Linked DNA regions of Arabidopsis thaliana. The protein of the gene in region 1 interacts with the protein of each later gene in a biochemical or structural test. Each region holds a gene or a part of one and is shown on either strand. Other genes may lie near its edges.

Region 1 (3,758 bases):
ACAAGTGGCACGTTAGTGGTGTCCCTTCTTTAGCTAGTCATCACCTCTAAGATTGAATAAGCAAGTTGGTAATTTGTATTCTAAAAATAACAAAAAGGGGCGAAAACTAATTTAATGCGATACACATTTTGTTTTAGGACAGAGACACAATAGTGGTGGAAACTCACATGGAGGTTTGTGATTTGTCTTGGGAAATAAACCATGTCTCTCATAATGACAATGCTCAAATAATAATAATAATAATCTGTTTTTTTCTTTCTGGTTTAAGAACGTAAATATATGGTTAACTCAAGGCAATACTGATACATAATAATAACATAATAAGCATGTCTACTTTACATTCATACACAAGCAACCAAGAATTTCAATCTTGTCTTGGAAATCCAGCTGCCCATCTCCTTGTTTGATTTTCATTTACTCCACTTATTGTTGTTAAATACATACATAACCACTTGATTTATTGGTAATGCTATTATATTATTGTTGTGTGCTTGTTATGGTTGTAGATGTAGTAGTGAATTAGATATAGAATAAACAAATATGTTAGCGTGATCCATGTTATGTCATCGAGGTGTTTCATTACCACGAATTTTCTTAGAAATTGTGAACAACATATTGGGACCGTGCGATTAATTTGATTTGTGTTGACAAGGAAAAAATTGTTTTATAATTTTAACATAAGTTTGGTTTCCAACACCGGTGTTTAGTACTGTTTTAATATTGTATACCTAATGTAAGTAGTTTATTAAGAATGGACAAAATGTACATTAACTACTTAATATTTAAATGAACATTTGTTTTAAAACAAATAGCAGAGTGAAAAATTTGACATAGCAATGTCATTTTCATTGACCAAAATTAATATATCAAAGTGCGATTCAAATAATATAAACTTATAGTTTAGGTTTTTAACAAAATAGTGGAAATGTTTCGAGATGCTTTCACACAAAACAATACTAGTATTTTCTTCAAAAACTTTAATACATATATATATATATATATATATGAATATAATGTAGTTTTGAAAATAAATTCCATGAACAAAAAAAGGTCCTAATAATAAATTCGAATAAAATAGTGTTAGTTATTTAACTAACACATGTTATGATTAACAACTTTAAGTTCTTTGCAAAAAAGAGTTTAGTTTTTAAATCACGAGTTAAAGTAATCGACACCACCACCATCTTAGATTTTGTAGTTAAGACTAATTAAAGAAAAAGGAAGAATACTTCCAACATAATTTAGAGCCAATGGATTTGAAGTGAGACAAAGCATCTCAGCCGTTGAAAGATTTTGGTCTCGATGTTTTCAAAAAATCTTCAAAAAGCCACACCAGAGAGACACTCAAATAGAGCACCGGTCCGTCAGATTCAGTTTCGAAAACCAGGCCCAAAGCCACCTGCCAGACTTGTTTCCCCTCTAATTACTATATTGTCCTTCTCTCTTTTGCAGTGTCTTCCTCGAATCTTAAGGGTAAAATTGGGAATTAAAGTAAATATTAGTAATGAACCATCTGCGTCAGTTTCGTCTTTTTGCTCTGTTTCCTCGGCATATGTAAGATTTTTTTTTCTTTCAAAAAACACTGTTTCAGATCAGTGACCCTTTCTTTCATTATTTTGGAGAAAGTATTCGAAAATAAAGTACGTGAAAACGGGAAATTATTTAAACTGAGAGGTGAAATTCTTTTTTTTTATTTTCCCTTCCGTTATTGTATTATTTTCCAATGGTATGTTGGAAGAATTTGTTTTAGATTTTTCGAAGATAAAGAAAAATCAACCAATAAAAATAAAAATGGCAAAAACATGTTTTAGTTCCTTTTGAGGAAATGTTGTTATAGAGGGATTATCCAGTTATAGACATCATCGCAAGACCACTAAATTCGTTGTACACAAAAATGATAAGCAACTAGTAGTACTTTGTTGTTTCAAAATTTACAAGTAGATAGAATTAGCTCGTACACAAACCTCTATAATAGTACTATAGAAGAAGCAACTTACGGCCAAAATTGAAAGAGTAAGACAAATTAAGTTGTAGGGGGAGAGTAGAGTCACGCGCTGGATTTGCGAAGAGACTCGACAATGATGGCACAAGAACACGGTACATATGTAGATAAGTACATCTACAGACATAAGCCACACATAGAGGACGAGAAACCAGAAAGAAAAAAAAGAAATGAAAATTCCTTATTACAAAAACCAAAAGATTTAGAGAGAGAGAGAGAGATAGAGCATTGATGAAGACCACTTTTTATATATTGCACGCATCCATATAACAGCTACAGAGAAAGAAAAAAGAAAGAAAGTGATTTTAGAGAAAGAAGAAAAAATTAAAGAAAGTTGGGGCGCCAATTACAAGTTTTGAGCTTTGCATGTGTTTCTTTCTTCCGTACATTAACCACTCTGAGACATAACCTCTCTCTCTCTTCTTTTGTTGTCTTTCTGTTCTGTTCTTGAGATCTCTCTCTCTCTCTCTCTCTAGGGTTATTTTTTTCTGGGTTTTTTGTTTTTACAGTTACTCTGTGTTGTTGAGGAGGCGATGCCCTTATCCTTTGAAAGGTTTCAAGGGGAGGGGGTGTTTGGTTTATCTTCTTCTTCTTTCTATTCAGATTCTCAGAAAATCTGGTCCAATCAAGACAAAACCGAAGCAAAACAAGAAGATCTTGGTTATGTTGTCGGTGGTTTTTTACCGGAGCCGACGTCTGTTCTCGACGCTCTAAGAAGTCCTAGTCCTCTCGCTTCTTATTCTTCTACCACCACCACGCTGTCTTCCTCTCACGGCGGCGGTGGTACCACCGTCACCAACACCACCGTAACCGCCGGTGATGATAACAATAACAATAAATGTAGTCAGATGGGTTTGGATGATCTTGACGGTGTTCTCTCTGCTTCTTCTCCTGGTCAAGAGCAGAGTATCTTGAGACTTATCATGGACCCGGGTTCTGCCTTCGGTGTTTTCGACCCGGGTTTCGGATTCGGGTCTGGTTCCGGGCCTGTGTCTGCTCCGGTGAGTGATAATTCGAATCTTCTGTGTAACTTCCCGTTTCAAGAGATTACGAATCCAGCAGAAGCTTTGATCAATCCTTCAAATCATTGCCTGTTCTATAATCCTCCGTTATCTCCACCGGCTAAACGGTTTAATTCCGGATCTCTTCATCAACCCGTTTTCCCTTTATCGGATCCGGATCCGGGTCACGACCCGGTTCGTCGTCAACATCAGTTTCAGTTTCCGTTTTATCACAACAACCAGCAACAACAATTCCCGTCGTCTTCTTCTTCCACGGCGGTGGCTATGGTTCCGGTTCCGTCGCCGGGAATGGCCGGCGATGACCAGTCAGTCATCATCGAGCAGCTGTTCAACGCGGCGGAGCTAATCGGAACCACCGGAAACAACAACGGCGACCACACCGTTCTCGCGCAAGGGATATTGGCGCGGCTCAATCACCATCTCAACACTAGTAGTAACCACAAGTCTCCGTTTCAAAGAGCAGCTTCTCACATCGCTGAAGCTCTCCTCTCACTCATCCACAACGAATCATCACCACCGTTAATCACGCCGGAGAATCTGATTCTCCGAATCGCCGCTTACAGATCCTTCTCCGAAACCTCGCCGTTTCTCCAATTCGTTAACTTCACAGCGAATCAATCGATTCTTGAGTCCTGCAACGAATCAGGGTTTGATCGGATCCACATTATCGATTTCGACGTTGGATATGGAGGACAATGGTCGTCTCTAATGCAAGAACTCGCTTCCGGAGTTGG
Region 2 (3,758 bases), about 11 Mb from region 1:
GAAGAAGAAGAAAACTTCCACTGAAAAGCAACTTGCTTGTTTTAGTTTTGAACTACCAAAAAACATTCAACTGTTCACAAGTTCTGTTGTAAAACAACTATTGTTGATTTCGGTTCAAGATCACGTTGTAATCGATAATTAAGATCATAACATTGTAATCAAATATAGTACATCTCTAGCATTTCTTTCATGCCTCCGGATCTGTGAGGAATTCCTTTTTAAAAATTTACTGAAATAGTCATTTCTTCATAGTAGTAATTAAAATTTTAACTTATTCATCATAGAGATAAAACGGTTGTCAATTACAATTAAAACCTAGACGATACTTAGCTAGTAATTACAAATTACACATAACGAGAGATAACTAGTTAACTACTAATATAACAACTGCATCATTAATCACTAGCGAAGCATAGTTGTGAACATACGAGTACGAAAGAGAGAGAGAGAGGAAAGAGCTTTAATCCCGAGCGACACCGGCGTAAGAGCTAGTTCAGACGTAGCTCAAGAGAAGCGCAAGGGCGAACTTCCGATTGGCCATACTTCCAGATGGCACCACTACCACCGTTGATGTGATCTTCACCGTGCATAGGGAAGAGAGGAAGCGTACGTCGATGTTCCAGATAAGCATCGCCACCACATTCTTCTTCTTCTTGATGACCTTCTAGACCAAACAGAGGCTTTGCTCTATCGAAGAAGTTGTAAGGTGCAGATGAGTAATGATGATCCATGTTTGCCCATCCTCCACCTACGTTGTTGTAATTCATAGAACAGTCTTGTTCCTTCACCCAAAAATTTCAGTTTCATTAAATTTCTATTCATATATGTAGTATAAATATTATTTGAATTAATGAATTATAGTTTGGTACGTACCATAGATCCATAGACATGGCTACTCATGTAGCCATTAGAAGCATTAACAACACCACATTCAGTACCTGAGCTTGCATGATTTAAATTCCCTTCAAACATATTAATATACGTATCATCAGTGATCATATATGTTGTGATTCCAGAATCCAGACCATACTATATACAGGGGAAAAGAATGAAGAAAGAGACATAAAATTAGTGATTTTTTTTCTACTAACCCAAATCCCTAATTGTGTTACAAGTCACAAATGAAAATAAAATGCACGTGAGTCTAGTTTCCATTACACAACAAAGAAACCGTTCTTTAGATGCAAATTTGGTTTGCCCCAATCAAGATCCATAACTTCAAATATACGTCATTACATGTACATAACATCTTCTTGGGTTTAATTATTTTTACTAATTCATGTAATAATAGATGGTGTGTAACATGTTCCTATAATATATATTTTAGATTTTTAAATCAAAACCATCTGAATAAATTCATAAATCAACAGCATTTTTTAAAATCTTTTTAACAATTAACATATACATATATCTATCAAAGTCATATATGTAGATCTTGTTAGTTTTTTTTTTTTTGTGTGTGCTAATTCATGTAATAGCTAGTGGTGTAAATGGTTCTCTTAGTAATTATAAAAAACCACCTGAATAAATTCATAAAAAAGCATGTATAAGAGAGATTAGTCACCGTTATTGAAGCTGGGATATGGCTTGTTATGATGATAGAGATGATGGTCTTGGTTAAGTTTAACGTTGACGGAATTAGCAGGTCTCTGCATGGGAACACCGTGATGATGGTGAAGTAGAGGATGATAATGATCGTTAGCCGCCATCATAACCGAGTTGGGTGATGAAGATGGTGTGGTCATGTTTGTTCCGTTGAATCTCTTCTTCTGACGCTCACGAGCCTTATGGTTCTGGAACCAGTAAAAGACGTTCTTGCCCTCAATCTTTCCGAACTGTCTCAGCCTTGCAGTGATCTTCTGGATCTGATCGGCTGTTGGTGACCGGATTGCATTGTTGTAGTAAAGTTCTTTGAGGATTTTGATTTGCTCCGTCGTCGGTGTCCACCTCGTGCTGGTCTGGCGACACGTGTAACCACCAGAGCCGGACTTGTTGTTGTTGTTGTTGCCGCTTTCTTGGTCGGCTTGATGATGATGATGCTGATGCTGTGGCGGCTCCATGTGTGTTTGATTCGACTTTTGTTCACAAAGTTAACGGTAAATAAGATCAAGACTTAGAGAGGAACAAGAGAAAGAGAAGTTTGAAGTTAGCAAGAAAACAACTTGCTGGTAGTAAAGAGATTTTAGGTTTTGTGTGAGAGAGAAGATTATATATATATAGAGAGATAGTAAGGTATTGAGTTATATATATAAATGGGGACCCAAAAAGAAGGTTTTACAATATTCTAGAAAATCAGTTATTCACTATATTATTCTTTTATGCATGTAGATATGATTTCATACATACAAAACCCTATTGAAAAATGTGCTTGGATATAAGAAATAAATTTTGCCAAAGAAAAGGATATAAGAAAGAAAAATAATCAATTGAATTAACATTCAAATAAAATGTTATGTTTAGGAAGGAAATTCTCTTGTCAAATATATTATTTGATTTTTTTTTATTCAGAGGAAAAATCGAAACTACTCTTGAGAGTTTTAGTGAGAATAATAATAATTTTTATGAAAAAATTTGTGGGGGATCGAATCAGAGGATATCTGGTGGAGAAGGATTGAAAGGGACAGAGAAGTTAGAAATAAACATGAAAATGGAAAGGGACAAAGGAGGGAATTAGAAAGGTGAGGGCATCATCGGTATTTACTTAGACGAAAAACAAACTCTCTTTTTTCAATTTCTCTGTCTCTTCACAATTATTACTTCACCAGCTTTAATTGTTATGTATCTGTCTACGTATGAAAGATATTTACCCATACACACAGAAAACAAAACAAAAATTCTAAAAGATCGTTATGAATTATTGTATCGTAGGAATGAAAGAAAACGATTATAATTTTTTTCTAGAATGAATAATAAAAAAAGTGAAAACCGTTTGATCATAAAAATACATTTTTCCTTCCTTATGGTCATGAGTCATGACACATAGGTGATATAGGATATTTTTCGTGGTGATATCGTCCGGAAATGTGTTGAAGAAATACTCTATATAATTTTACTTATGCTTTGCTTTAAAAGATATTAAAATTTATGTCAATTACAATGTGTGAAACGAGTGTGAAGACAGGTGTACTTATGAACATGTTGAGTATTCTTTAGTTAATTATATGCTCGAATTTATAGGAGCATGGATGGATCTTTTTGTATAAATGCGTGATTTATTCATTTTTTTTAAAAAGTTTGAAGGGCTTTGTTTTAGTGAATATGACTTTTGTAATTGAAAAGGAACAATACCCAACTTTTGTATAGTCTTATTGTTCTACGTAACAGCCACATATTGTATATAAAAGATATATAAAGATTTTTTTAGGAATCTACAAATTTCATAGAAGCTATTATAGTTTTTATGGGGAATGGCCCTGAAGATACGGCTGATAAAATATTTATTTTTTTTAAAATAAAAAACCAAAGATCCGATCACTGAAGTTGCTTGGCTATTTCATAGTATAGTTTTGTTTATATAGCCCCCATGATTTCTCGGATTCAACACAACGTGCAAAGAGTATCGGAAAATTAAAAATAGGTTTTACAAACTAACTATTGTAACTATTAATATTTGGAAAACAATCTAAGGATTGAAGTCTTAAAAAATTTTTTTTGTTAAAAGGTTAAGTCTTATAATCTTTTATCACCTAAATAAACTCAGTTGTATCCCAAATTTTTGTTGGTAAAGAAAGTATTTAGTTAGACTGGTGGATTACTCA

The links. The genes of interacting proteins can lie anywhere in the genome.
Region 2: the proteins of HAM1 (region 1) and WUS form a complex in vitro, tested with the Arabidopsis thaliana proteins (one study listed by BioGRID).

Annotation. Positions count from the first base shown.
Region 1 is NC_003071.7:18,618,810-18,622,567, reverse strand, and holds the start of HAM1 (GRAS family transcription factor), read left to right. Parts: upstream 1-2,116; 5' UTR 2,117-2,535; coding exon 2,536-3,758. UniProt on the Arabidopsis thaliana protein: Probable transcription factor involved in plant development.
Region 2 is NC_003071.7:7,808,612-7,812,369, forward strand, and holds WUS (Homeodomain-like superfamily protein), read right to left. Parts: upstream 2,201-3,758; 5' UTR 2,061-2,200; coding exon 1,565-2,060; intron 963-1,564; coding exon 874-962; intron 783-873; coding exon 489-782; 3' UTR 260-488; downstream 1-259. UniProt on the Arabidopsis thaliana protein: Transcription factor that plays a central role during early embryogenesis, oogenesis and flowering, probably by regulating expression of specific genes. Required to specify stem cell identity in meristems, such as shoot apical meristem (SAM).